Alligator mississippiensis: one gene and its partners. The protein of the gene in region 1 interacts with the protein of each later gene in a pairwise test. Links are inferred from orthologs where the notes say so. Each region holds a gene or a part of one and is shown on either strand. Other genes may lie near its edges. The genes, in order: NUP58, MIS18A and PKNOX1.

Region 1 (7,237 bases):
ATCAGGGGTGGGCAAAATACAGGCCAGAGGGGCTTTGTCCAGCCCAAGGCGGGTCCCAGGGTCTCACCTGGCCCAGGTGCTGTCCAGCCATGGCACATCCTGCCGTCCCCTGGGCACGCAGTGGGGCTGGAGTGGCTCCTTCTGGCTGCCGCTACTGTTGGCTCCAGCCCCGCAGTACTGGCAGAGACTCACATGGGCAGCCCTGACCCCGTGTGCCCCATGCCTGCTCTGGACTCACTCGTCCAGGCTCAGCAGCAGTGGCTGCTGGGCAGAAACTGTTGCTCAGTGCAGGAGAAAAGCAGCCCCTCCCCCTCGCCGCTGCCAGGCAGTAGCTGATGCAGCTGCCTGGAGCCCGCGCCATACCAGGTTGCCCTGCGGCTCTGCCACCACCACTGCTGCCTCTGGGCTGCTCAGCATGGTGACAGTGTAAAGCAGCCACAAGGCAGCCCAGTGTGGTGCAGGCTCTAGGTGGCTGCACCAAGAACTGTCCTGCAGCAGTATGGGAAAGGGGTTGTTTTCCCCCTGTGGCAAGCAACAGTTTCTGCCTAGCAGCTGCCACTGAGCCTGGGCAGGCAAGTCTGGAGCAGACGCAGGCCACACTAAGCTGGGGCTGCACGTGCAGTGGTACCACAGGGCTGGGACCAGCGGTGGCGGCAGCCAGGAGCCACCCCAGCCCTGCTGTGTGCCCACAATTTTAAAGCAATTTAGAAGCCTACCAGTACCTCAATACCTATAGTAAAATAAATTCTAAATACCTATGAATTTTAGCATTTGATTTTGTGTTTTTGTCATGGGGGAAAAAAAATCAGAGCTCTCGCTGCCCCCTCCACTCACCAGGACATAAGTCCAGCTGCGGCTGTCCCCTCCCCGAACTGCTTTGTGGCACTGAACAGCCCCGATATGCCAGCATCCTGCCTCTGTCATTGCCCCCCACCCCCCCAACCCTGTCAGAGGGGGCCCCCAGCTGCCAGGGCTAAAGGGCCAGGGACCCAGGTGTGCAGCCCCCTGCTCCCTGCAGCAGCACCCGAACACCAGTTGCTGTGCACAGGAAGCAGCAGCTGCTGCAGCCCCAGTGATGAGTGGAGCATGAAGCCCACAGCAGGAATGCAGTGGGGGGGGGGGAGGGGGAAGAAGTGGGGGGTGGAGTGCAGACTACCCACTGCAGGCTTGGGCTCCCCAGCCTGCTGCCCTGCCCCTGGGGCCTCTGCAGCCTAGTAGGTGGTACCTGGCGCAACAGGGCAGAGCGGGGCTGGGCACATAAGCTCAGTGCCCTGCTGCACCAGGTCCCACCCACTGGGCCATGGAGGCAGCCTGAGTTTTTCCATCATGAACGGAAAACCCAGATCCCTGTTCATGATGCATTATCCCTGCTTTTTTGTATAAGTTTGTATAAGACACTGTGTTATGTAAAATAGGTTTCTCCTGTATTGTAAGAATAAAATCAACATGCACTTCCTACCTGTATTAGTACCTCCTAGTGTAAACCCGGTCGAGGGTTTTGATCCAAAAAGTCCACTTCCAAAACCTACTGAAGGAGCTGACGTAGTTGCTGTAGCAGTGGAGGAACCCAAGGTGCCAAAATTAAGTCCCCCTGTTGAGCTATAAAATTAAACAACTATTAGCAACAATTATTTTTCCGACCAACCTAATTCAAGTCTGCATCTGTAGGTAATTTCATCAATTTATTTACTTGATGCTTACTCTGCAACACATTCAACTTTAACTGCAAGGTAATGCTGTCAGATTTCACTCCCATAAAACAGCATCAAAAGGGGTGAACATATTACCAGTTTATCATCACCAAAGTAGATGCTTAAAATTCTAAGACAATTTGCAAAGCAAGTCCATTTTTGGAAGATCAATACTGTAACTACAGTAAACTGCACTCAATTTATTCAATAAGCATAAATCAAATATATTAGGGTTCTCTTTGACATTAAATGTGAGAGTTTATGGACAGTGGTTTTATGTATCACAAAACATCAGTGGGCTACTATCATGATTGTGAATCCCCTTCAGCATAAATTTCACTAAACCAAACTGCAGGAGGATTTTAAAAGTTTAAAAATTTCAGTTGTGAGGGGGACAATTAGTCACAGACGTGCAATACAAGTTTGTTTATAGTGCATTTTCATTTCTATTTTTGAAGGCCATTATGAAATAAACTTGCCTTCTTCAGACTAACGTGGCCAAGTACTTTTCCCGATTTATCAATTGACATTTGAATCATAAATTAAGATGCAGTACCAGATGTCAAAGCCAGTTAGCAGGAAACGGTTCAGTACATCGTTAATATAATGCCAGATGCTGCATCTTTGAACGGCAGCCTGAACACTGCCAATTGGGACGTGATGCTGTTTATCCTTATAATAAGCAACTCCTATGGTTTGGGGCACCCACCCCACCCCTCAGGTCTGGCTATAACCAGCCGCCCTCATTAGCCAGGCTGCCCCTCGCTGTGGAGAAGATGGGACGTCAATCGTTTCAGAAGGATGACACTTTCATGCCATCCTTACACAAGCCTGGACTACCCCACAGCAGGGATACCCAACTCCCTGCCCTGCTGTCAGGGTCCCTGCCAGGGTCCTTCCGGGGGGGGGGGGGGGGGGGGGGGGGGGCAGCCGCGGCAGCCATCGCCCCTCCCTCCTGCCCGATCTCCGCACCCCGGGCCTCGCAGGCCGGCGCAGCCTGCGCTACCTCAGCGCGGGGCCAAGAGGCGGTGGCGCAAGGCCCCGATGCACAGCGCGGGGTTGAGGGAAGCGGCGCCGGGTCCGGTCCACTGCCAGCCCGAGCGCCCCCCGCACCGGGCCCCGCGCCCCGGCTCTGCCCCGCGGTACCTGGGCGCGGCGGCTCCGAAGGAGAAGCCCCCGCCGCCGCCTCCTCCCCCCGCGCCTGCGGCGGCGGCGGTGGCGGAGCCCAAGGTGCCGGCCCCGAAGGAGAAGCCGGCAGACATGGCGGCGGCCGAGGAGCGCGGCCTCCTCAGCGCCGCATCGCTGCCGAGCGCGGGCTCCACTCGAGGTAGCAACGCGAAGGGCGCGAAATGGCTCCTGCGACGCCCCGTACCGCCTGCCGCAATGCACCACGGGATACTAGCGAAGTCAGGCCAGTTACCGTCGCACCGGGTGCGTCACTCCCCTGTCGCCCGGCTTAGCGCGCAAGGCTGCAGGGGGCGGAGCCAACGTCCTGCCGCACGCCCTTCTTCCGCCCTCCGCGCTTGTGCCCCACCCATCGCGGGTGCTGGGAGTGGTTCTGCGCTTGCGCCGGGAGCCTCTGGAACCAGCACGGGGGTTCGGCGGACACAGCGTTACGTGATCCCCTGGCGGAGCGCCCGGCTGGGTTGTGGCCTTGTGGTGGCGCTCTTCTTGCGGGCATAGGGCTGTCGGCTGGAGTCGTGCTGCCTGACTGTATCACCGTGTGTGGGTGTGAATGTCTGTATACATATATGTGTGTGTATCTATATATATATATATATATATATATATATATATATATGCAGGGGTTTAGGTTGTAGCCATGTTGGTCTAAGGACATAGGCGGACAAGGTTCCTTGGGTGAATTTGATATCTTTTATTAGACCAACCCAAATGGTTGGAGAATGGTTATTAAGCAAGCTTTTGGGTTCAAAAACCCAACTGCTGAAGCTTCCTTAGCCTGACGAAGGGTTTTTGAACCCGAAAGCTTGCTTAACCATTCTCCAACCATTTGGGTTGGTCTAATAAAAGATATCAAATTCACCCAAGGAACCTTGTCTGCCTATCTATATAGATTTCACTCTAAGACCGCTATAACATAGAAGATACCAAAATCCATCACTTGGAATGGAGAAGGCACAAGCTAAAGAATTTTACAGTGTTTATACATGTGCTGGGAGGGTGGCTTTAATGAGAGTGGCTCTAAGAGCCACTCCAGTTAAAGCACCTGAAGCGTCTTGTGTAACAGCATCCTCACGTTTCAAAGTTACGTTATACTTTAAAGCTTGTCCAAAGAGCTTTGTTATTACCATGCTCCAGCATACTCAATTAATCGAGCCTGCTCGGATGTGCTGTCAGAGCAGCCTCGCTACACGTGTAGGTGCTTGCTTTTCTCCTCAGACCTGAAGAATGCTTTGCATTCCAAAACTTGTCTAACTTTATTCCAACAAGGCAGTTGGTCCAATAAAAGATATCCCTCCTCTTTCCTCCCACCTCCCCCAAAAAACCCAAAACTGTCCTTTGCCTTTCACAGAGAACAGATACAAAAGCAATACAGAACTACCTATCTTGGGCTGAAATAATATGTTTAAAAGGTAGAGAGGCCAGATTTGGGGCCAGTACTCTACTTAATTCCAATACAAATGCTACTTAAAGGTAATTTAAGACCCTCTCCCTACCTGGTATAAAACAGGTATAGCCTCTTGGGGCAATGCAATATGTTCAGGGCCAGAAAGAAGAAATTTGTGCTCGGTTTTCTGCAGGTAAATAGTTAAATTGACTTCAATATGTAAAGTTAAACATACACAGAAATGGAATCTTAAGAAAACTGTTTCTCAACAGCAATTAAATACTAGCATGTATGTCTTGAAAGTCCTCACGTGGTGCAAAGAAAAGTGTTTTAGGCTGTTGTGCTAAGCTGTTGTGTTTGATTTGGCTTCTATTTACATTCATATGCACATGCTTGAGAGCTTTCCTTTGTGCCAAAAGCCCCTGTTTTGAGAAACTCTGTACCACCCAGACTTTGGAATACAAGTGAGTCTACCTACGGACAAAGGTAGATGCTGTCCAACATCTAAATTTGATAGTGTTTCCCTGAATATTTACACACTGTTTTGGGATCTGAAAACATAAAAAGTACCATACTGGGTCAGGTCAATGGTTTATCTAGCCCTTGTTTTGAACCTGTAACCTTCACTTCCATTCCTGTTTTCTTATTTGTCCCGAGACAAATCTGTTGTTGCATTCTTAGTAGCCTCCGTTTTAAAGGAGGGCTTATAGTTTTTTGTGGTGGGCCTAAACCCATGTTTCCTGAGCACAAAAAATAGGCCTGTCTGACAGTGGCAGGAGTGGATGCTATGCAGGGAGAACACTGAATTGAGCGTATCCAGAGTGATTTATCCCCTGTTCATTATCCTCCCTGGCATCCACCATTAATGGTTTAGAGATGGTGCCAGAGGATGCTTCTCTGACTGATCTGTTTACTAGCTATTAATAGATTTATCATCAATGAATTTGTTGAACTTGGCTATACTATCTGCCTCCTTTATCCCTTTTTGAACCTGGCTATACTATCTGCCTCTACGACCTCCCGTGGTAATGAGTTCCACAGATTAACTATGTGCTGCATAAAAAAGTAGTTTCTCTTGTGTTAGTTTTAAAACCATCTCCTAACTTCAGTGTGTCCCCTAGTCCTAGAATACTGAGACTTGGTGGATAACAGTTCCCTATCCACAGCCTTCATGACTGTATAGACCAGAGGCCAGGTCAGTTTAGGGGGGCTAGTCCATGAGCCAGTTTGAGCCCCACACACCAGGATGGGGTCCCACGTTGCCCCAGCCCCACGCCCCAGTTGGGCCCTGTGCTGCGTCTGCTCAGCCCTGTAGCATCTCCAGCCAGCTCCTGTATGCCTGGATTGGCTGCACACTTCCTTGGCCAGCTCAGCCTCTCTATGCCCAGACTGGCCCTTTGTTGCCTCAACTGGTCCCTGCATGCCTGGAGCGGCCCTTTACCGTCTTGGTCAGCTCCTTGTGCATCTGATCAGCCTCGTACCACTTTTGTCTAGCCCAGCACACCTGGATCGGGCCTCGCACCACCTCCACTCAGTCCCTCACCCTGGTGCGCAGGGCCATACTATCCATCCTATGGGGCTCCCCCCAGGTCCAAGGATTTGATACTGGGGGAGAGGAGGAAATTAACACTGCTATTGTGTCCTCCCTGCCAAATTTCTGGACTCATGGGGATCCCTGTGGACTAGATGACATGGACATGCAGACTGGATCCAGCCAGTGGGCTGGGGGTTGAGCACCCCTGTAATAGATGTCTATCATATCCCCACTTAGCCTTCTCCTTTCAAAACTGAAAAGCCCTAGCCTTGTTAGTCTTTTCTAGTACGGCAACTGCTCTATATCCCGGATCATTTTGGTTGCCCTTTGTACCTTTTCTAATTCTATTACTTCCTTGTTGAAATGTGGAGACTAGAATTGTACACAGTATTCAAGATATGAACATACCATGGTTTTTAAAGTGGCATGATGATATTTTCCTGATGCCCTTAACATATTTTAGGTTCTTGACAACAATGGAGTTTGAAATGAAGTTTCTTACCTATTTATGACTTCAGGCTGAAGGACCATACTACCAAATAGTTCCAGATACAAATTACGCCTCTGTCTTGCCATGACAGCTGGTGTGAACCAGTCACTTTCAGCACCGGCGAAGATAGTTCTTATCTGCCTTATTGATGAAAACCAGTTGAGTCTGCTAACTTAAAAAAAAAAATTCTATATTTTCTCCATGACCATTTAAGCATTATTCATTTTCTCAGGTTTTGCTGAACCTAGTTGACATGATGATGCCTCAAGGCACTTCCATCTTTTGTGGTTCATTTGACTGTCCCACTGGGGGTCATGATGTCACAAATATTGTCTTTCAGTTGACCAATCAGTAAGCAGCAACTCAACACAATAAATGCAGACCTCATAATAAAGCCCTCCTTGTACTAGGATTAGGATTGATATGTTAGCAATCCCCATGTTTGGATGTGGTCTTAATCTAGAACAGTGCACTTCACTAGAATTAATTATACCATGGACCATTAAGATATGCATCTCAGTTAAACTGAAGTGCAATTTTATAAAGGTTCTCAGAGGGCAAATCCATGTGTAATAATCAGGAAATTCCACACTAATAAGCTTTGATGTTAAATTTTCAACCATAGTGTTGCTGATGTGTTCAGTAGCTGAGCTAGGTTTTTGCAAATGAAGTACTGAAAACCCCTACGAAGAAATTCTGAGATGTTCCCCTGGATTGACTGAATAGAACAGCAGGATTTCAGTTGGGGGCTTCTCATGAAACAGTACCTTGGGGGTGATTTTTGACAGTTCACTTCTGCTTGAAAATCCCTGGACTTTCACAGAATATACAGTAGAGCACAGGCTTCCCCCCAAAGTACTGTGATGATCGTCAGAAGAAACTCCTACACTTCTCTGCACAGAAGAAAACTTTTAGGAGGGAAGCCCCTATCAGCCTCAATGTCCTCTTCCCGA
Region 2 (7,199 bases), about 140 Mb from region 1:
CAGAACCTCTGGAGACAAGTGCTCTTCCTCGTTATAAAGAAAGGTGGCCAGAAATCCAGAGATGCATTTAATTAGCAACTTTTGTTTTTGTCAGAACTGTTCTTGGGAGGAAAGTTTTCTGAACATCTAACTTTCTGAAACTGGCTGAAATTAGAAGCAGTTATGTAGAGACACTGTATGGATGTTTTCACAGTTGTAATGAACTTTTACCAGCTTAAAAACTAAATCTTACCCTTTCTAGTGCCTCTTCCAAGCTACCTCGACTTTGAAGAGTTAAAGGCTCCTCCTCAGTTACAGCTTGCTTTTCTGATGATCCTAGGATGTAACTGATATAAAATATTTAATTATGTAATATTCAGTCAAAATGAGAAATAACCACACATACCTGGCATTTTTATAACACCAGTCAATGCAATTAGATGAAATAGAGGATGGTGCTAGTTTGTCAATCTGTAAGCCAAGAAGAAAATGTAGTTTTGTAGACCTATTATACAACAAGCATACAAGAATTCCCTATTGTCACCGATACAAATTAACATGAAGAAAGAGAATGAACTACAGGGATAACATAGCGCAGGGGGAATAAAAACATGTAAAAACAAAAAAAGTGGATGACGCTATTCAAACTTCTGAATCGGAAGTGTCACCTAACCAACCAATCCCTAAGTTAATGAGAACAGGAACAAAGAGCAACATCATTCAAAGAGCTAACATAATTGATCCAAGATTTAATTACTGAAAAATATTTTAAAACCTTCTGTTTAATAACACTACAGAAAGCCAGGTTTTAATGCTGTAGGTATATCAATCCTGACCTTCCAGATTTAAGCCCAAGGAAGCCAAAAGGTGTATTTCTTCACCCAGTTTTCAGCATGCTAACTTTGTCCTTAGACGGGTAGTTAAGACGCATTTCCTCCAAAGCAGTAGTTCTCAACATTTTTAAGACTCGAAACATCCCTTCATAACCTGAATCAAGTGGTACCCTATTTAAAAAATGAATATCAGTCAGTTTTTAACTAGAGAAAAATGACTGAAAGAGCAATTCTTCTGTTGCAACACACACAGAAAGATCACACCAGGTCAGAAGGTTTTTGACACTGGATTCCTATTTTAAATCTCTGGGTTTATTTTGTGAAATGTGTGGGTGTTTGTGCACTTAACTTTGCTAGCACTGCAGTGCCCCACAGCACCTTTAAAAGGATCACATGGCACCTAGGTTGAGAACCACATATCTAAAGGCTTGTCTTCACCTAGGTCTAATTTGATACCTTGATACTTGGTCTTTACATACACAGACTTCTGGGTAGGATTGCAGCCAAGACACCGTATTCCAGTCTTGTGTATGTAATGACACTCGATGTATTTGAACTATTTCATGAATGAACACCTAAGTTATGAAACTATCAGGGATTACCCCACATCAAATGCAGAATCTTTCCATATATCGAGCATTCCAACATAGACAGCAAAAACAGAAAATACATTTCTTAAACTAAAGGAGTACAGAGAAGCAACCAGTAACCATCCCTACCCTTTCACGAGTGTTGTAAACTCCTGAATAGAGAAACATCCTCCATTTCTGACAGTGAAGCAATCAAATTAAAAGGCAAAAACACTTGCACGCTTACCTGACAAGAGGAACTGTGGCAGGGGTGGGCAAAATGACCACGCCAGCAGCCAGACTCCATTTCCCAGCAGCCCCTGCCCTCATGGCTAGGGCGGTTCTCCATGGAGACCCCAGCCCCTGTAGAAGGGCAGGCTGGGGTTGTTGTCATGGAGACCAGCCTGAGCCGCACCAACAGCATGTGTGGCAGAGCAGCGCAGGGGGCTGCTCCAGAGCTGCTGGGAACACGGGATGGGGGCAGCTTGCTCCAGAGCCAGGAGAGCCGTGATCTGCAGCCTGCACACTCCAGGCAGAGGCGTGCAGGCAGGGGATTGTGGCTCAGGCCCAGCTCTTAGAAGCAGCGACAGCCTGTTCTGGAGCCAGGGCACAGCCACAATCCCCTGCTCAGAGTGTGCAGGCTACAGATCATGGCTCTGCCCTAGCTCTGGAGCAAACTGCCCCCATCACAAGATCCCAAGAGCTCTGTCACACATGCTGCCAACATGGCTCAGGCTGGTCTGCATGACAACCCTAGCCTGAGCTTTCCTGTGCAGGTGCGGCTGGGGTCACCATGGAGACCGGCTCAAGCCATGCAGGCAGGGGCGGCTGGGAGCTGGAGTCCACAGCCGACTGGACCCGGCTTGCAGGCCAGACTTTGCCAGTCCCTGAACTATGGTCTTACCTTTCAATAGCGTCAACGCTGAAACAGAATAAATCTCTCTTATAGTCCAGGTGTTTGGGGGTGCATCTGTAGATGGTCCCAAGATTCACTGAGCACCCAGAGCAGAGCAGCGTTTCAATCATGCTACAAGCAAAATACTTATCACTAAATTAGCAGACGTCGAGAAGAATTTTTAGGATGACCAAGATTAGTCAAATACCCACTTCTGGCCTTCCCGCATCCACCCCCACTGCGGACATCTTATACAAACAGAGAGCACAGCTAAGAGGTCTCAAATGTATCCAACTGGCTCTGCCCCCTACGGTAGCCATCCCCTGAGCCGGCCCCCGCAGGGGTCACTCACCAGCCGTACTCGCCGGGCCGGCTGGACAGCTTCTGCTCCTTATCCACCAGCACGTTGGAAGTGACATCTGCAAGGGAAAGCCAACCGTCACCAACCGCCCCCCAACGGTCGGGCAGACAGGGATGAGGGGGACGGGGTTGATGCAGGGCAGGACTCACTGCGCAGCATGACACAGGACCCCTCCTCGTCGTTGGCCTCCCAGCTCAGCGTGTCGCCCACCGGCCGCTTGCAGCCGGCGCAGAGAAACACCATAGGCAGCTCCTGCCCCTCCTCCTCCACTTCCCCCCCACCGTTCCGCCCCGCCGCCGCCGCCTCGGGCCCGCAGCTGCTGTCTAGCCCCAGCACGGACAGCTGCGAGTCCAGCGCCACGCCCGGCGGTACAAACGGCCCGCCCGCCATAGCCAACCACCCGGCCAACGGCCGCTGGCACTCCCCAGCCAATCAGCGAGCGCCGGCAGCGGAAGCAACGCACCCGCAGCCTCAACCCCACGGCACAGCCCCGCCTCCCCTTCCGGAAGTGGACAGGAGTACGCCCCGCCCCTTTTCTGCCCGTCACGTGACCGGCGCCCTTGCAGTTCGGGCCATAAGGGGTTTCGGGCGTCAGTGCAAGGGAACGGCTGGTATGCGCATGCCCGAGGGGCTGGACTGGGCGTTGATCCAGTAACATTGAGTTTTATTTATTTATTTGGTCTAATAAAAGATATTGCCTCCACCCAAAGACTTCGCCCGCCTTTCAGCATTGCCAACTCTCATGATTTTGGGCAGTCGTTGTTAAAGGCCACACTTCGGGAACGTGAAAAGCGTAGCTTTTTCTTTTATATATATATTATATAAAATGTTATACATAGTGTGTGTGTATATATATACACACACACACACACACACACACTGTATAATATAACATTTTATATAATATATACACACACACACTATGTATAACATTATATATGAGAGAGAGCTACTTTTTAAAAATTCCCAAAGTTAAGAACAACGCTAAAAATCACGAGAGTCGGTGACACTGTTTGGCCCAATAACAAGTACCCACACCCACAAATAAAAGTCCTACCTTCCACATGTTTGCAGGGCAGACACCCCATCAGCGCTGCCAGGCATTTTCATAGACTGGGGGTGGGCAAGATCCGGTCTACTAAGGCATTTTGTTTGTGTGCAGCCCACAGCGGGACCGCCTGGCCCAGGCATGGGGGCAGCCCAAGCTGTGGCACATGTGGGTGATGCCGCCATCCTTCTGCTAGCCAGGCATCCTCCCAACACCTGAAGATGCCTGGCTAGCAGAAGGACAAAGGGAGAACAATTACTTCCCTCCCTGGTTTCTGTTTCCTACTTTGTATATGCCATACCCATTTATTCAGAGTCAGTCTTACCACAGCTTCTTTACAATTCATTCGTCTCCCTGGTTTATACAGGCATTTCACAAAGCCAAGGGGAGAACACTATGTTCTCTTAAGAAGAGAACGGTATGCTTGTAAACCCCCAAAATACTGGAAGGAAGAATGGACCAAGAACTATCCTGATCTGCGGGGTTCCATTTCTGTTTTGCCACAGATTTCTTTGGTGACCCTGGACCAGTCACTGAGGCCCAGATCCTCAAAGGGTTGTACCCAACTCCTGCTGAAATCAGTGGACTTCAGACATCCAGTTACAGTGTAGGGTCTGTGTGGAAGTCTTTACTTCTCAGTTTTCAAACAACCAAATGCAAACACTACTTCTCTACTTTGCAGGGAGTGTTCTGAAAATGTGTGTGTCGAAGAGTGCAAGGTGCTCAGATACTTCGCTGCGAAGTGGATCACAGAAGGATCTAAGATAGAGAGATCGATGCATATTTTGATCTTGACTAGAGTTAATTTTAACTAACCTGATGCCAACTGCTCTATTTCTAATTTCCAGCCCGCATTAAAAATAAGTGCTCCCGTGAACAGCGCGTGTCCCCAGCAGCTGGGGGGGGCACGGCTGCGCTGGCAGCAGCAGGAGCCTGGCAGCAGTGAGTGGGGAGCTCCCACAGATGCCACCGGCACTGTCGGCAGCCAGGGGAGGGGTGACGAGTGCTGACCAGAGGTCAGTGACCACCCGCGACCAGGGGTGATCATGGGCTGGCGGCGGTGTGGCAGGGACTGCACCCCCTTTTTGCAGGGGGCGCACTGCCATGCTCACGGGGTGCACATGCACCCACGTGCACATGCTATGCGTTACCCCTTAGTGCTCCTTTACAGTTTGTTTGTTTTGGAAATGCTAGCAGAGATTCTACTTCCACTGTATTTCCTTTGCTCCAGAGCAAAAAAAAAATGTGGCATTGTTTAGACAGATGCTTTATAGTGACTAAACCTATTACCAGACTGTCTCCTTTGAGAATGAAGTTTTCCAGGACCTGCATCTGAATAAATTGCCATCTCTGATTTGAAAAGCCATGGTGCATCTCATAGTCCTTAGGGATAGAATTAAAAACTAATAGAGGGTCTGTTTCTCTGTTAATGTTAGTCATTTCTGTGCTAATAAATTAGATTGAGCATGTATGTTTATATTAGTGTAGGCACTTCAAAGGTTACTTTTGGCAACCTTTGAAGTGCCTTCACAAACATAAACATACATGCTCAATCTAATTTATTAGCACACAAATGAATCTATTTTGCTTCTAGGCTGATGGGGCGGGGCTCTATTTTTATGTTGTTTTTTGGCAGAACCAAAGGGGTGTTAAAACACAAACATTTTTAATATTTCATACATAATGTATAGTTGCTTCAATACTTCCTTATGTTTATGAAGTGTTTCATGAGGTCCTTTAGGGGTCTGTATATGACATATTCAGTATTGTTTTTAGTATATTTTATATTTGGCCGGTCAAGAATATCTCTTTCGTTGTTGCTAGGCACTCATTGTGACGAGTTATAATTTAGCTTGGGTTTTGTTCATTCTTTTACTGTCTACCTTGCATCTGTATCAATATAAAACAGTATGGGAAGTAGTACATATTTCTCTACCTAAACAGTAGATGACACGTATAAATTTGGTAGAAGGTACGCATCTGACAAAGTAGTTTGTTGCCTACAAATGTTCATGCTGCTCTGAACTAGTTAGTCTCTCAGGACATTTTCACATGGTTCGGGGGTGAGGGAGAGGGCTCTGAGAGCTGCTCTAATTAAAGCACCCAGAGCATCTCATGTATTAGCATCCCCATGCTTCAAAATAGTGGCAGGGGTGCTTTATCTAAAGCTTGTTGAACAAGTTTTAGTTAAAGTGTCCCCGCCATCATTTTGTAGTGCGAGGACATTGATACATGAGACGTGGAGGCTGGCTGGAGCACACTAATTAGCATGCTTCAGCTGGTATCAAGTCTGCTCCGATGTGCTGTAATTACAGTGTACTGGAGCAGCCTCCCAGCTCATGTACAGGCACCCTCAGGTGCCACCCTTCCCTGCCTTCTGCCCAGTGGTGTACCATGGATCTTCCATTTGCACCCCCCCAATCCACGGCCGATCGCTAAGTGGGGAGGGAGGGTCCCCCCAACAGCCAGACGCTAAGTGGGAGCAGGGCCCGGCGGCCAATTGCCAAGCCAGGAATCACCAGTGGCAAAACTGGAAGTGCCACCAGGGGACTGAGTACCCCTGCCCCACCAGTCCGGCACCCAGGGGCATGGCCTCCCCATGCCTCACTCCCTTTGGTATGCCACTGCTTCTGCCTGACTTCAGACTAACAAGGCTAACCCCCTCTGTGTATAAGTTTAGTATTAAATGTCTGTCACAGGCTGATATTAATTTCTGCTAAGTTTTTTTAGTATCTGAGCAGTCCTTGAGCTGCAGGATGTGAGGTCTTCCAGAATGATTTACATAGGCATCAGGTACTCAGTGTCTTTTTGAGAACTCCAAAGTACAATGAAACAAAGTATCAGATCAGAGCAGAGCTGATTGAAATATACTACTGAAATGGCTAACAAAACAAACTCATCTGAGTATTACTGGTCTTATGAATATTATTGGGACTATTTTGATCCATTTCCAGTAGATGGAAGGATGTTGAAGGTTCATAAATGTAAGTACTACATGTAGCAGCTAATCTACTATGGGAAGCATTAGAAAACAGAATAGGATGACTAGTTTCTTTTACATGTGTTTTCACTTTGTAATATAGACCATACTGGAATACATATATTGGGCAATATATGCTGATTGGGTTCTAATACCAGCTGATGCTAATGGTACAATATTATTTTATTTAGTATAAAGAATGTATATTCTAGAAATATTTTGGTATTAACTCCTAATTGGAAAGACAGCTTATTGAACTCTTTATTAACTGGAAATTGTTCTGAAATGCAGATAAATGGTTTGACATATTCCTGGCTATTTTGTACAGTAGAATAACAATAGATTAATATGCTTACAGATTTGCCAGTTATCTTTCCTTCTTGAAATACAAGGTTTGCACTGAAATTTTTGTGCATTTTTATATATTATTGAAAAAGAAGCTGTATTTTGATCAGTTAGGAAGAGCCACAAATTGAATACACATTTGCTACTTATTTCCTTATTTCTTTAATCTGGCATTCCTCTTTAGCTCAT
Region 3 (7,788 bases), about 130 Mb from region 1:
GATTTAAAATTAAAAAGACCACACAAAATCTGTATGCTGATGCAGGAAGGGTACTGAACTGGGGATAAAGCACTCTATAGAGATATTTCATTCAATGATCTCCTGGTATAGCATTCACTTCTGCCACGCCTGGAAACAGGATACTGGGCTAGATGGACCATTGGTCTGACCCAGTGAGTGCATCTACACAAGACAATGCACAGAATACCCTTCTACTGTGCACTGGCACAGCTGGCAAAAACCATGCTAATGCGCAATAGACTTAAGTCACATGCATTAACATCACATTAAGAGTGCTCATCTGCACTAATGTGTAGTAGCACTGATTTTGGTGCATTGTTAGTACCTGTAGTTGCAGGTACTAAACTTAATGCGCTGTAATTACATTAATCAATGTGTAGACACGCCTAGTAAGGCACTTCTTATGTTCTTCTGAAGCTCTCATTTGTGCCTTTTGTTGTCAGAATGCAGGGAAGTATCGAAAATTATTGCTACTTGCAGGGACAGGCACTGAGCATGTTTCACTGCCCAGAATAAACCAAACAGCAAAAAATATTCTCATTTGTAACAAAATTTGAAAAACTAGAGATTTTGGATAAGCTAAAAACCAAGGATGAAATCAAATGAGGCAAGATACTGTTTTACCCAAATATATGGTTTGTTACGTGTGTAGGTTCGACAATTTAAACCAATGCATGATTAAATACAAAAGCAGTTATTTTCATATTTAAAAAACACAATTCTGCAATTTTTGGCAGAGGTATTAAGAAAGTGAGTCTACAATATATTTTTTTTTTTTGCCTAAAACTGCCCTAAATATTGTGACTTTGTATCAGGGAATTTCTAATACTGCAGCAGTCATTAGCTTTCTACCCTTCAAGGCAATTTAAGAGACTATGGCTTTCTGCATGCACAATTAACATTCATTCTTGCAATAAGTACGTTTTACCACTTGGACTATACCAGGATCTGTAAAGTGATACAACTGCTGCAGCGTTGGTAGCTATACTAATGATATGTATTTTTTAAAAACCTCTAAAAATCACATCTTATCAAAAGAGTGATACTGTAGCAAAAAGAAAAGTGAAGAACACTTAGAAATAAATTTCTAAGCAAGATGATGAACACCTGAATAGGTAAACAGCAATATGAGTGCTCACTTTATTGTAAGATTTTTAAAAAGGTGAAAAAATGCAAGACTATTTTAATTGAATGAGATTTTAGAATAAAGGGACTGTGACATAAGACAACTGTGACTCAAAGGTTCTCCAAAGTCTGCAAGCCAGGCCAAAACACAGTCTCTTCACTTCAGTAACCAACTTAATGGAACACGCAGCAGATTCCAAAAGGGGCTGAGGAAAAAAATGAACCCTGCCTGGACAGCATTTGTAACTGTGTGGCCAAAACTATATATATAGCAGGTACAAGACTCCGATGAATAAGGGAAACAGATCAGGACCCTAATGGTCTCCCCTGAGATACGTTAGTTACCCTAAATGAGGAACAAATCAATCAATCAAAGCTGACTAACACAGCATTTTGCAACCCATGGGTCATGACCCAAAACTGGTTGCAAGAATACATGAAAGGGTCACAAACTTTAAAAATGGATTTTTCTTTAGAGAAAAACGTGGGAAACTGTGGTTTTTCCCTTGCAGGCTGGCAGAGCTCCATCCCCTCAAGGGGCTGCTTGCCCCCTCCCCCCCCGCCCCCGCGCACACTGGGGGCACTGGGCAGCAGGTCAGGAGTGAGGGGCATTGGGTCCGGGCTGGCCATCGATGTTTACAAATGGGTCCTGGTACAAAAAAGGTTGAGAACCTGGGCACCAGCAGGAAAAAAAAAGTCAAGATAAAAAAAAAAAAAAAGAGGAAAAAACCCCACGCCACTGCAACTACACCTCTAAAATCATTTGGAGCATTAGCTGCCCAGAACCACTGCATGGATAAAATTCAAGAGAGAAAGAGTGAAATGGAGATTGAGAAGTAGAGATGCAGAAGCACAGAGCAGGCCCAGGTGCTGGTGTCGGTGTTAATACATGAGCTCAGAGCAGGTCCGGCCCCGGGGGAGCAGTAGCTCCCAGGCCAGGCTGCGGAGAAGCCCGGGGGACGCTGGGCGGCCCGAGGTGACTATTACATCTGCTGGCGGCAGCTGCTGCAGAGCCGAGCCCAGCCTCTGGGGCACACGCAGCAGCCGGCTCAGCAGCGGGCAGGTGGCTGGACGCAGCCAGCCGCCCTCCCCGAGCCGCGCGCACCGCGACCAGGCCTCGGCGGGCTAGGCGGGCCGGGCTCTTCCGCTGCCCCGCCGGGGCGGGGCCTCACGCTGCACGCGCTTGGGGGCCGCGACTGCGGCAACGGCTGCCCCGCCTCCTGCCGTAGGAGTGGGTGCAGGGGCAGGAGGGGGCACTCGATACCCAGGCGCTATGAGAAACCCCCCCCCACCCCGGGCCGCACTACTACTCCGGAGGGAGCTGTACCGCTTCCCCGCGGACTACACCACTGCGCGTAGGGGGGCGGGGGGAAGGGAGCCCCACTGGGGCAGGTGTTAAGACCAGAGCTAGGGACCCCCGGCTCCATCGGAATGTGCCCCAAGTTGCTGCTGGGCCTTTAAATACCCCCCCAACACACGCGCGCGCGCGCACAGCTGTTGCCCACACCCGGCCGGCGCGCGCTCGCCCAGACAACGGTTCCACGGCGGCTGTTCCAGAAATTTCCTCGCTCCCCCCTCCCCTGCCCGCCACCGCCCCTCACCCCCGCCCTTCCTCCCTCTCTCCCTCCCTTCCCCCCCCCCCGCTCGGGTTGGGCATGAGCGCGAGCGGCCCCCTCCCCCGCCGCTGTTCCGTGTGGCGGGCTGCCCCCCCCGCCCCCCCGGCCGGGCCGCGCGGCACGGCGCGGCGGGGCTCCGGGCGGCGGCGGCGGGCGCGCCGTGATGGATGGCTGGCGGAGCTGGCTGGGAGCGGGTTTGAGTGACAGCGCTTACCTGGGTGCCAATCTTCGTCACACTGACAAGCGGCTGCAGCAATCGGGACCCGCACCGCCGCGACACGCGTCACCGCGCACACCCGCGGCGGGCCAATCGCCGCCCGCGCTGCCCGCCACGACACCGCGCCGCGCGCCACGCCTCATCAATATTCACCCCCGCGGGGGCGGGGCCCGCCGCGGACACGCCCAGCGCCGGCCGCTAGCTTCGGCTCGGGGGTGGGGCCACCGCTCCTCTCTCTCTCTCTCCCCGGCTTGCGCGCCGCCAGCCTTGTGAATATTCATGAAGGGGGCGGGGACTCGCCCAGCTCTGCACCGCCCCTTTCAGCTCGGTCGGGGGTGGGAGGGAGATGGAACTAACTCTCCGGGGTGGGGGCAGGGGGAAGATACCAAATGAAGTAGAGGGTGGGGGGACTTGGGGAAGATACCAAATTAAATGAGGGGGAGGCCACGCACTCCTCCTGGAAGGGAAGGGGTGGTTACTATGCAGCCCCCCAACTCAGGCCTCTGCCCCACAGGCCCTCCCTTGTGGGCCCAAGGGCTCTGGGGGTTGCAGACCTGGCCTGGGGCTGCCCCAGGTGCTCCTGTGAGCCCCAGGGGAGTGGTGTGCTGCAAGTGGCGCCCCAGGGTGGGCCGTGGCAGTCCCAGCGCCATGCATGCCCTGCAACACACCGCTCACCAGCTCCCGAGAGCACATGTGTCCCCAGCACTATCCCCCCCTCCTAGAAACACCGGTCCTTGAGAGCCTGGCAGCTAGCAGACTGCCCCGCTGTTGCCACCCAATTGGGCGACACTGCCCATCTGTACAGCGCCACCCTGAATCGGGAGAAAGATCAGGCAGCGTGTAGGGGGTGCTCAGCTCCTGGAGGCTCAGGGCACCCTTTGGCTTGGGGTTGCCAACCCACCAGCATTGCCCTGGTGTCTCTAGGAATGAGAAAGAAATCTCCAGGAGACTGCTGGGAGTCACCTGAGAGATCAATGACAGGGCGTTCATTAAAATAAAGATTAAATGTTGAATCTGATTTGTACAGTAGTCCAGTGGGTTTTTAAAATGTAACAGTCACGTGCATTTGCCTTCTTGACATAACGTCTACACACCATAATCCGTACCTGATACACACAAGTACGTGGGCGCATTCGTGTTGTGTTGCAGGCACACTGGCATTTTGGAAACCTCCTCGAATAGACTCAGGGTTGCCAACCCTAGTTAGGCACCCGGCCCCTCTTCGCAGGGTGCTTCTGAGGAAAAGCCGGCTTTGTTTCCCCCCTCCTCTCCTGTTTTTGGGGTTTTTTTGGATTTATGGAAAAGTACAGGGGCCATCGGCCTGTCCAGAAAGCCCACAGCAGGGCAGAACATTTGCCGTACTCTGGGGTCCTCTTGGAAACCTCTGGGTTTCTCTCCGGGTTGTGCTGGCATGCCTCACATGGGGCATCCCTAAAGGATCTCAAGGCCGCCTGGTTGATAATACCTGCCTCACAGACTAGCTGGTTCAGAGAGGCCTGAGCTCGCAGAGGCAACAGGCAGCCTGCTTCGTTCAATGCCATGAACGGAGGGGAAAGGGGCAGCCTGGCTCCCTTTCCCCTACAGAGAGCAGAGTGCCTCCCCACAGTGCCAGCCATGGTCTGGTGCCTGGCAGGAGCTTGTTTAAAAACCAGTGATTTGTCCCAGGTTTTGCAGCCCCGGGCAGGGTCAGGCCAGGCAAAGCTGCCTGATGGCCATGAACCCCTGCTTTCCCTGGGGACCTTCCTGCATTCAGGGCCTATCTTGACTTCCCTGTAAGCCCAGTAGCTAAGTTTGGGTTTTTTACAGTCCTCTGCCAGACCAGGCTGTTTGAGGCAGCACTGGTCAGCAGAGCCCATGTTACCAAGACAAGTTACCTGAGCATATATGCAACAGGCTTGTCACATATCCCTTGCACATAGCAGCTTTTGTCCCCTGCTGTCATGCCCCCAATCCGTTCCCAGCTGATGTCATCCCAGTTTTTTCTTTGGGAATCTAGTCACCCTATGCTGCCATCCTCACTTGGCCAGTCACAAATTGTCATCTGGTCCTTTTTCTTGCCTCTTTGTCAGCTCTTGTGCTCACCAGTTTTCTTCGAGGCAGGCAGAGCAATGTGGAGCTAAGGACTGTGAAAATAACGTTTGTAAGATTCAGCAAAGAAAATAGAAGGGAAATCAGGATCACCCATCTCAGAAAGTCTGCAACATTTAGAAACTGAAGAGAATGAAAGGGAGGAAAAAAGAATAGAAAGTGAGAGGAAGAAGAAAAAACAGTGGAGAATAATAGAAGATGAAAAATTTGGAAAATTAAATCCTTTTTTCTCTCCATCTCTGGGTGCTAAGATCTTACTGTGCCTCTCCTTCTCAGTCACAAAACATTGAGGACTCAGTACCACAGTGAAGGTTTTCTCCACAATAAATACATTAGAAGATTACTCACGCAACTGGCTTACTATTACACTGTGTTCTTCACAAATACAGGTGCACACAGGAAGTCAATGGTGAAACTTAAGTGTCAGTCACCTTCTTTTCTTGGACAGCATGGAACTTACAAGTAAACCTGGCTGTACAAAATGTTTAATACCTGCAATAACACATTGGAAGAAGCTTTGAATAAGTGGCAACATTTATAAGCTTTGCAATTGCAAATGATGATGAAATACCAGTCTTCCCAAACTGATTTCAATTTGTGCAAGTAGAACATATTGAGCACTGAAGTTGTATGTGTATCCCTAAATCAGATACATTTAACAACTGGGCCTGGAAACAATTTTATACCTGGTTAAATTTATTGCAGTGAGTAGTACCAAGTTATCTGAATGGTGGGCATTTGTGTAAGTGCTTTTAGGGTCAAGGTCTAAGTTACTAAAAGTACTTTACCTACCACCTAGAACACCCAGTTCTTTTCTTACATTTGTATCCCAGGTGTACCGGAGTGTGCAAGCCCCCTTTCCAATAGAAGGGGATGATCAGCAGGGCGTATGTGCTGGAAATGGAAACTGCAGCTTGCTCACAGCTTACCCTTCTCCAGTGTCTCTAGAGGAAGACCAGGACACAATATCTTAACTATATACATAGTTTATTCAGATGCAGAATAAAAGGTGAGGGGATAGAATAAACTGGATGGGTGATAAAGATAACTCTTTACATATAATACATTCAAGTCAACAAATAATAGGTAAGTATAGCAGTCCCCAAGATCCACAAGAGAAACCTCACCCATGGATCCTCAGAGGGTAAGTATGTCCCAGCAACTGGTGGGTAAGCGCCCCCAAAATGTAAAGCACAATAAATAGTGAATAAACTCTTCAGAATAGAAAACACAACAAGCAATTAATAAACACTCCAAAATGTAAGGCATGATAATCCCAAATGCCCCCCTCCTCTAGAGGAGTCTCTCTCTCTCTAGCCTAAACCCACTCTGATATCCCTCCCCAGTGGGAAACCCCTTGTCCAAGAAGTCAAGCTTCCCGGTGAGTAGGGGTTCCCAGTGTTTCATCCCCAGCTAGGCAAGTGGCTCCTGCAGTGAGTGCTCTGTCTCATTCCCACGTGGCTTGTTCACATGTCCAGATGGCTCGGTCTTCTCAGCAGGTTGTGTGCCCAGGACCAGGGCTCCAGTACAGGGCCGCCTTGCTGCGGAGCCTGCGCTGCCCATGGGCCATTGTTCCGAGCAGTGGGGAATGGGGAACCACCCCCTGCCCCCTCCAAGGGCCCTTGGCCCAACAATGGCTCACCATGCAGCAGCGTCTGCACTGGTGCTGGGGTTCGAGACCTGAGCCACTTTGAGCAGCTCACCGGACCCTCCATGCAGTGACACCTGCACCATCCAGCCTCATGTTAGGGTTGGAGACCCAAGCCGCCTTGAACAGCTCTCCAGGTCGCAGTCACTGTTGGACCCTCTGTGCAGTGATGTCTGCACCGGCTCACTGTGCTCTCTCATGGCAAGGGGTTGGGGACATGGCTCTTCAGGGCAACTAGAAGCACCCCCTGGGTAGCTCTTCCCTAGCTCTTCCTCAGCCCCAGCTTCTTCTTTCTTCTCCATCCCTCATCGTCTCCACACACCACCCTCCCCCCCCCACGTGCTGTGCATGTAGCTCCTTATATACCCTTTTGGGGCTCTGCCCCAAGACTGAAGCCTAGCCAATCAGGGGAGATGGAGCACAGTCTTCAATTTGGTCTGCTCCTCACCTCACCCTGATGTAGGGGCAGGGCAAACTCTTCCTGAGGCTCCTCCCCTGCTGGTCTCTGATGGGTGGGTTTGTCTCACCTATTGCTTTGGCAATTCTCTAATCCTGAGGAACTGGGCGAAGATAGGCAAGCCCACCATACATTCTTACAGTTACATTTTAGTGCAAGTGGGATTGCATGCACATACATATGTAAAATATCAAATATAACTTTGCATACATGAGGTGAGGTCAATGTGACATCCTTAACATTTGCAATTCTGAAGTCCTGAATGTTAAAACTGCATGCTCAGTATAACGGTGATGTAGATTTTATACTTAATACTTTCAGACAGAAAAGGAGGAAACTTTTTGTTTCAAATATTTGACAAAAAAAGAGTCTTTCTGATTTACTTTAAAGCTTTTTTATGGTTAAACATTGAAAAGAATGTTTAAAAAGTGGATGTGGGTTCCTATGCACTGGCAGCAACTAATATGTGTAACAGTGATCAGAATGAAATGATGTTGTATTAATAGGGTTTCCCACAGCTTTCCTTTGAACTGATATCAGTTCAAGCATTGACACGGTAACAATGATGGAAGGTCCCTATTGCAAACAAGATTCTCTTTTTTTCTGCTACTGTAAA

Evidence for each region.
Region 2: the proteins of NUP58 (region 1) and MIS18A interact in binary tests that used the Homo sapiens proteins (3 or more experiments, as listed by UniProt). The link is inferred for Alligator mississippiensis from reciprocal best matches to the Homo sapiens genes NUP58 and MIS18A.
Region 3: the proteins of NUP58 (region 1) and PKNOX1 interact in binary tests that used the Homo sapiens proteins (3 or more experiments, as listed by UniProt). The link is inferred for Alligator mississippiensis from reciprocal best matches to the Homo sapiens genes NUP58 and PKNOX1.

Annotation. Positions count from the first base shown.
Region 1 is NC_081824.1:430,289,444-430,296,680, forward strand, and holds the start of NUP58 (nucleoporin p58/p45), read right to left. Parts: upstream 3,062-7,237; 5' UTR 2,954-3,061; coding exon 2,838-2,953; intron 1,600-2,837; coding exon 1,460-1,599; intron 1-1,459. UniProt on the Homo sapiens protein: Component of the nuclear pore complex, a complex required for the trafficking across the nuclear membrane.
Region 2 is NC_081824.1:291,157,304-291,164,502, forward strand, and holds the start of MIS18A (protein Mis18-alpha), read right to left. Parts: upstream 3,090-7,199; 5' UTR 3,028-3,089; coding exon 2,787-3,027; intron 2,696-2,786; coding exon 2,629-2,695; intron 2,409-2,628; coding exon 2,286-2,408; intron 984-2,285; coding exon of another isoform or gene 857-983; exon of another isoform or gene 816-856; intron 327-815; coding exon 233-326; intron 1-232. Other genes in the region: MRAP (melanocortin-2 receptor accessory protein), read left to right, coding at 6,564-6,669. UniProt on the Homo sapiens protein: Required for recruitment of CENPA to centromeres and normal chromosome segregation during mitosis.
Region 3 is NC_081824.1:299,809,190-299,816,977, reverse strand, and holds the start of PKNOX1 (homeobox protein PKNOX1), read right to left. Parts: upstream 3,082-7,788; 5' UTR 2,977-3,081; intron 1-2,976. UniProt on the Homo sapiens protein: Activates transcription in the presence of PBX1A and HOXA1.